Saccharomyces cerevisiae S288C: one gene and its partner. Changing the gene in region 2 together with the main gene of any one other region gives a genetic interaction. Each region holds a gene or a part of one and is shown on either strand. Other genes may lie near its edges.

Evidence for each region.
Region 1: mutations in POR1 (region 2) and ERG26 together harm fitness more than expected from each alone (negative genetic interaction), as found in Saccharomyces cerevisiae (2 studies listed by BioGRID).

The regions. Positions count from the first base shown.
Region 1 is NC_001139.9:494,953-498,375, reverse strand, and holds ERG26 (sterol-4-alpha-carboxylate 3-dehydrogenase (decarboxylating)), read left to right. Parts: upstream 1-1,873; coding exon 1,874-2,923; downstream 2,924-3,423. Other genes in the region: EFM5 (protein-lysine N-methyltransferase), read left to right, coding at 342-376, 439-917, 1,011-1,243; ERP6 (Erp6p), read right to left, coding at 3,209-3,423. UniProt on the Saccharomyces cerevisiae protein: Sterol-4-alpha-carboxylate 3-dehydrogenase; part of the third module of ergosterol biosynthesis pathway that includes the late steps of the pathway.
Region 2 is NC_001146.8:516,614-521,603, forward strand, and holds POR1 (porin POR1), read right to left. Parts: upstream 2,233-4,990; coding exon 1,381-2,232; downstream 1-1,380. Other genes in the region: YNL058C (uncharacterized protein), read right to left, coding at 1-100; OCA2 (Oca2p), read left to right, coding at 636-1,229; YNL054W-A (gag protein), read left to right, coding at 2,843-4,165. UniProt on the Saccharomyces cerevisiae protein: Non-selective voltage-gated ion channel that mediates the transport of anions and cations through the mitochondrion outer membrane.

The sequences.
Region 1 (3,423 bases), on a different chromosome or scaffold from region 2:
TACTTTCGGAAATCACGCAAATATTATGCACTAGTAACCCTCAATCTCTAAATAACTTATATTGTCATCTGTAAGGCAGCAAAATCCAAGATGGGCAATGTATATAGGTATATAGTTTAGTATTGTCATCTCATAGAATATCAACTGCATAATATACATGTATATATAATTTCCCATTCATTTAGAGGCTTCTTTTTTCGTCTGTATCGCTGAACCTTATGCCGGTTAAATCTAACAAAATTTTTTTGAACTGGAGGAACTAAAAAAAAAAATATTAATCTTGACTAATATACTAATCAGTCACTTTACATCTTAATGAAACCGAAAGAATCACTGATAAAATGTCCGACTCCGACTCCGACTCCGATTATGAATTGTAAGTACAGGATATTTTCAACACAGTAACGTAGAATTACTAACTAACACGAAACTTAATAGGACACTTTCTGCTAATGCCCTCGCTGCCCTTGAAGAATTCAAAAGAGAGGAACAACAACATCAAGAAGCCTTTCAAAAGCTTTACGACGAAACGGATGAAGACTTCCAAAAGAAAAAAAAAGAAGAAGGGATGAAGCTTTTCAAGGAAGATTGGCAGCTTTCCCAGTTTTGGTACAGCGATGACACAGCCGCAATTTTAGCAGATGCCATATTGGAAGGTGCGGACGAAAACACTGTAATTGCAATAGTTAGTGCGCCATCCGTCTATGCTGCCATTCAAAAGAAACCTACTAATGAAATTCCAACCGAACATATCTACTTGTTCGAATTTGATAAGAGATTCGAGTTGTTAGCTGGAAGAGATCATTTCTTTTTTTATGATTACAATAAACCACTGGACTTCAGTGATGAAATTAAAGGAAAAGTTGATAGATTGTTAATTGACCCACCTTTTTTAAATGAAGATTGTCAAACAAAGTGTATGTATATCATAAACATATCCCTACTCATTTTTTAATCTTTTTTCCAGTATCTTTTCATCTTACTAACTGTTATTCATTGATATAAAATAGCCTCTATCACTGCAAAGTGTTTATTAGCGCCAAATGACAACTCTAAAACTAAGAAAGGAGTTTTTAAGCACCGCCTCATAAGTTGTACTGGTGAAAGAATGTCTGAAGTCATATCCAAAGTTTATTCTGACACAAGAATAACAACTTTTCTTCCTGAACATTCTAATGGTTTGAGTAACGAATTTAGGTGCTACGCAAATTTTGAATGTAGTTCATGGAAATTTGCTTCTTGAGCTTTTTAAGAGCTTCGATAAATTTGAAAATTAATTGTACTACATAAAAAATATGTAAACATCAATATATATAATATAATCACATTTCAAATATATCACGTGTTATATTTACTATATAAAAATTCAATAAATAAAAAGTTAGAAGATAAAAATTATATTATACATATTTTTATTTTTATTATAATTTTTGTTTTTGCCTTCCGAAAAGAAAATAGTTTTTTGTATTACGGAAATTACAGAAAAATGTTTAATTTTGATTTCATATTTTTTCTTTCTTTGAAAGAATATTGACGACAAAGTATTGGATAATTATAATGCAAGGAAAGGATATTTGTAGATCTTCGGTTCAATGAAAGTTAATGCGGTATGAATATTGCTTTCTCCAGGACCTTTTTTTTTTTTTAGAGGCTATTTTATTGTCGGTGTTTGTGGATTTTATATTTCTCGGTCCGATAGTCCCTATAGATCGTTTATTGTTCTCTCGAGAAATGGTATCGTTTAAAAATCTCATATAAGCCTGCAAGGAAAAGATTATGCTGCAGCTATAAAATAGAATAGACAACAATATAGATTGTCAATTTTGTCCAATTTTATTTGCAACTCTACCTGGAAGGGCAAACAAAAATAAATATGTCAAAGATAGATTCAGTTTTAATTATCGGTGGTTCTGGTTTTCTTGGATTGCACTTAATTCAGCAATTTTTTGATATTAATCCTAAGCCAGACATCCACATTTTTGATGTTAGAGATCTCCCTGAAAAACTTTCAAAACAGTTTACTTTTAATGTAGACGACATAAAATTTCATAAGGGTGATTTAACATCACCTGATGATATGGAAAACGCAATTAACGAAAGTAAAGCAAATGTTGTTGTTCATTGTGCTTCTCCAATGCATGGTCAAAATCCAGATATTTATGACATAGTGAATGTTAAGGGAACCCGTAACGTGATAGATATGTGCAAGAAATGTGGCGTTAATATACTTGTATATACTTCCTCTGCTGGTGTTATTTTTAATGGGCAAGATGTGCACAATGCAGACGAAACCTGGCCAATCCCAGAAGTTCCTATGGATGCGTACAATGAGACTAAAGCTATCGCCGAAGATATGGTCTTGAAGGCGAATGATCCAAGCAGTGATTTCTATACTGTTGCTCTTCGTCCAGCTGGTATTTTTGGCCCAGGTGATAGGCAATTAGTACCTGGTCTAAGACAGGTTGCGAAATTGGGGCAGTCGAAGTTCCAAATTGGTGATAATAACAATCTATTTGATTGGACTTATGCTGGAAATGTTGCTGACGCGCATGTGTTAGCTGCACAGAAACTTCTCGATCCAAAAACAAGAACTGCTGTCTCGGGTGAAACTTTTTTCATTACCAATGATACCCCCACCTATTTTTGGGCCTTGGCCCGTACTGTGTGGAAGGCAGATGGTCATATTGATAAACATGTTATTGTTTTGAAAAGGCCAGTTGCAATTTGTGCAGGTTATCTTTCAGAATGGGTATCCAAGATGCTGGGTAAAGAGCCAGGTTTGACTCCATTCAGAGTCAAGATTGTGTGTGCATACCGTTATCACAACATTGCTAAGGCCAAAAAGTTGCTAGGCTACACACCAAGAGTTGGTATTGAAGAAGGAATTAACAAAACGTTGGCCTGGATGGACGAAGGTTTGTAATGGCAATCGTTAGGAGCTTTTTGATCCGATTATCGAAAGATAGTATGTTGAAATAGCATATCTGATACGCACCGTATATATTTATTCTGTCTTTATAGATGAATAATAAGAATTGAAACACCTAAAACATCTTGATGACTAGGTTAGTATATATATGTATACACTCATTTAATGACTACACTATGAAGCGTCGGGGTAATGCATGTAAATAAATAGAAATAAATCATTGAAACAACGAAATTCTCATGTATGCCTGCTAAGGATTCAATTTTTTGATATGTACGGTCATAATACTTTCTGCTTAACAAAAAACGAGCGTAAACTTTTCATTTGCCATACACAAATTATAATGAGAAGAGTAACTTGAGTTACCGTCCACCACATTGCGCGAGAATTCACAGACTCTGATATGTCTCTAAAGGATTCTTCACGTTCTCTCATCAGTTGTTGCTCTCTCCTGATATCCACGATCTTAGAATTCAATATACTGACTTTTCCGT
Region 2 (4,990 bases):
TGGGCTTTGACAGGGCGGTTGAACTAGTTGTAGTAGTAACTAAAGTAGGAAGGTCTCTTCTGACCAGCGATACAGACGGGATAAAGTTTTTCTTAACCATCTCTGCCGATGTTTCTTTCTGAACTTTTGACAAGGTATGAGTCTAGTTGATTATAATACAAGAGTGTGGGTATGTTATTAATAAACATTATAAATTATTAACCCATATAGCTGCTAAATATAATTGAAAATCTAGTAATTTCTAATTATACATTTTTTTTTTTTACAAATGTTTTATGATATGTTTACTATTTCCCGCTTTAGGAAATCATATTAAGGGTTTCATGAAAGAATTCTGCAGAGTGATCATTGGAAATCGGCAGAAAGTGAGAAGGGAGGCTGTCACCAGGTTCCCCTATACTATTCATGTGAGTGGTAGCATGCAAAGTAAAGACCCTTTTTCATTTAGTGATTCATCCATGAATAGCTCTTGGTGCTAGCCCAGATTTTTCAGTAATTTTTGTTTTTTCTTCTGAATTTTCCAGAATTAAAAAAAAGATCAGAAAAAAGCGAGAGTTTACTTAAGATATTAAAGTCTAGTTGATATATCAACAAGTGAAGGCAAAATACCAATAGAGTGCACGTTTCTTGATGCTATGAAATACATACCCCCATTAAATTTTTCGCCAGTGGTGAGCACGGATGTATCGTTATATCGATCGGGATACCCGATGCCGTTAAATTATAGTTTCATCAAGCATCAGTTACACTTGAAGACCATAATATATATTGGCGATAAAGATAGGCCTCTCGAAGAATATCAAAGCTTCCTGGAGTCAGAAAAGATAAAATACTATCACATATTTATGGATTCAAGCCGCGATGAAGGAATTCAAGAAAGAATGAACCAGGTCTTGCACTTGGTGCTGGATGTCAGAAACTATCCCATCTTAGTGCATTCCAATAAGGGCAAGCACCGTGTTGGTGTAGTTGTGGGAATCATAAGAAAGTTGTTACAGGGATGGTCCACTGCAGGTATATGCCAAGAGTACGGGTTATTTTCTGGTGGGATGAAAGATGGAGTAGATTTGGAGTTTATCACAATGTTCGAAACCAATCTGAAAATACCGAGAAACGTTATCCCTGGCTTTGCTAAACACTGCTTGTATTTGAATGAGCTAGAGGCTGCGGAAGGAAGTGATGATGAGTCAGGAAGTGAGTCTATTCTCACTGCCAAGCAACCAATATGATTATGAGAACCAGCCGTTACAAAGAATATTTTCTGTCATTAATATATTTGTATAAATAAAACAACAAGTCTAAAGATCAAGTAGAAAAATGGAAACAAGAACGAGCACATATATGGTATATAGTGAACATATATATATTAGATATATACGTTCAAGCGTCGAAGGACAAAGACCAACCTAGCTTGTGAACAGGTTCAGACAACTTCAAAGCATCGAAAGAGGAACCGACACCCAGAGTGACGCCAGGTCTTAACAATTGCTTGTAAGCCAAAGTGACAATACCGGAATCGGACACCTTAGCCTTAACTTGGGAAGATGCATCAGGCAAATATCTAGTGGCGAATTCGATGTTGACATTGGAGTTAGGTAGTTTGCAGTTCATTGTAGCCTTAGCACCGACCTGTAAAAAGGCGTTGACGTTTTGGAAGAAGTCAACGGTAGTTATTTGCTCGTTGTTCAATGTAGCGCCCAAGGAGTAGTCTTTGGCGAAATAACTTAAAGCCATGGCATAACGAGAAATGGAACCGGCGCTGATATCGTAACCAAACTCTGCGCCACCAACAATACCTTCGTGGGCCATAGTTAAGTCACCAACAAATGTTGGTGACTTCAAACACAAGTCAAAGGCACCTCTTGCGGTGAAGAAAGGTTGTGTGAACGTAGTGTTTAAGACGGCGGACTTGGCGACGCCTGGAGTCAAAGAAGTGATCAATTCGTTCTTTAGACCAGGGGTCAAGTTGGCAAACTCTAATTTGGTTTGCAAGTTGTTTGTGTTAGACCAGCCTTGAGTTAGACCCAAGCCGGTTTGCTTGTCATTCAACTTTGCTTCCACGTTAGTAGACAGTGGACCGTCTTTGACAGGCTGTTTAGCCTTCAATGAGAACTTAATGCCATTGGCGGTTGTTGTTTGCACATCAAAGGCAGCTGGGGTAGCATGATAGAAATCCTTGTTCAATAGGTCATTGATATTTCTGGAGATATCGCTGTAAACTGGAGGAGACATTGTTGAGAGGTTGGTTTGATTTTTGCTTTGGGTACGCTTGGCTGTTTCGTGTTGGGAGAATCCGTAGCACTAATGAGTAGTGGAACGAGTTGGGGGTAGTTATATAGTAGATCAACTCGTGCTCTGCTGGCTATAAAAGGGGTTCTTTGTTGAGGAACGGCCGAAATGGCGGTGTTTGATTGGGCCGCAGCCGGCAAAAAGCACCGGAACCGTGAAAAAAGCTCGTCTGACGCGGAAACGTGCGGCAAAAAATCTCCGCGACGGGGAATTGAACCCCGATCTGGCACGCGACAAGCGCCCATTCTGACCATTAAACTTGTTGGAATAAAAATCAACTATCATCTACTAACTAGTATTTACGTTACTAGTATATTATCATATACGGTGTTAGAAGATGACGCAAATGATGAGAAATAGTCATCTAAATTAGTGGAAGCTGAAACGCAAGGATTGATAATGTAATAGGATCAATGAATATTAACATATAAAACGATGATAATAATATTTATAGAATTGTGTAGAATTACAGATTTCCTTTTATGGATTCCTAAATCCTCGAGGAGAACTTCTAGTATATTCTGTATACCTAATATTATAGCCTTTATCAACAATGGAATCCCAACAATTATCTCAACATTCACCCATTTCTCATGGTAGCGCCTGTGCTTCGGTTACTTCTAAGGAAGTCCACACAAATCAAGATCCGTTAGACGTTTCAGCTTCCAAAATTCAAGAATATGATAAGGCTTCCACTAAGGCTAACTCTCAACAGACAACAACACCTGCTTCATCAGCTGTTCCAGAGAACCCCCATCATGCCTCTCCTCAAACTGCTCAGTCACATTCACCACAGAATGGGCCGTACCCACAGCAGTGCATGATGACCCAAAACCAAGCCAATCCATCTGATTGGTCATTTTACGGACGCCCATCTATGATTCCGTATACACCTTATCAAATGTCGCCTATGTACTTTCCACCTGGGCCACATTCACAGTTTCCGCAGTATCCATCATCAGTTGGAACGCCTCTGAGCACTCCATCACCTGAGTCAGGTAATACATTTACTGATTCATCCTCAGCGGACTCTGATATGACATCCACTAAAAAATATGTCAGACCACCACCAATGTTAACCTCACCTAATGACTTTCTAAATTGGGTTAAAACATACATCAAATTTTTACAAAACTCGAATCTCGGTGGTATTATTCCGACAGTAAACGGAAAACCCGTACGTCAGATCACTGATGATGAACTCACCTTCTTGTATAACACTTTTCAAATATTTGCTCCATCTCAATTCCTACCTACCTGGGTCAAAGACATCCTATCCGTTGATTATACGGATATCATGAAAATTCTTTCCAAAAGTATTGAAAAAATGCAATCTGATACCCAAGAGGCAAACGACATTGTGACCCTGGCAAATTTGCAATATAATGGCAGTACACCTGCAGATGCATTTGAAACAAAAGTCACAAACATTATCGACAGACTGAACAATAATGGCATTCATATCAATAACAAGGTCGCATGCCAATTAATTATGAGAGGTCTATCTGGCGAATATAAATTTTTACGCTACACACGTCATCGACATCTAAATATGACAGTCGCTGAACTGTTCTTAGATATCCATGCTATTTATGAAGAACAACAGGGATCGAGAAACAGCAAACCTAATTACAGGAGAAATCCGAGTGATGAGAAGAATGATTCTCGCAGCTATACAAATACAACCAAACCCAAAGTTATAGCTCGGAATCCTCAAAAAACAAATAATTCGAAATCGAAAACAGCCAGGGCTCACAATGTATCCACATCTAATAACTCTCCCAGCACGGACAACGATTCCATCAGTAAATCAACTACTGAACCGATTCAATTGAACAATAAGCACGACCTTCATCTTAGGCCAGAAACTTACTGAATCTACAGTAAATCATACTAATCATTCTGATGATGAACTCCCTGGACACCTCCTTCTCGATTCAGGAGCATCACGAACCCTTATAAGATCTGCTCATCACATACACTCAGCATCATCTAATCCTGACATAAACGTAGTTGATGCTCAAAAAAGAAATATACCAATTAACGCTATTGGTGACCTACAATTTCACTTCCAGGACAACACCAAAACATCAATAAAGGTATTGCACACTCCTAACATAGCCTATGACTTACTCAGTTTGAATGAATTGGCTGCAGTAGATATCACAGCATGCTTTACCAAAAACGTCTTAGAACGATCTGACGGCACTGTACTTGCACCTATCGTAAAATATGGAGACTTTTACTGGGTATCTAAAAAGTACTTGCTTCCATCAAATATCTCCGTACCCACCATCAATAATGTCCATACAAGTGAAAGTACACGCAAATATCCTTATCCTTTCATTCATCGAATGCTTGCGCATGCCAATGCACAGACAATTCGATACTCACTTAAAAATAACACCATCACGTATTTTAACGAATCAGATGTCGACTGGTCTAGTGCTATTGACTATCAATGTCCTGATTGTTTAATCGGCAAAAGCACCAAACACAGACATATCAAAGGTTCACGACTAAAATACCAAAATTCATACGAACCCTTTCAATACCTACATACTGACATATTTGGTCCAGTTCACAACCTACCAAAGAGTGCACCATCCTATTTCATCTCATTTACTGATGAGACAACAAAATTCCGTTGGGTTTATCCATTACACGACCGTCGCGAGGACTCTATCCTCGATGTTTTTAC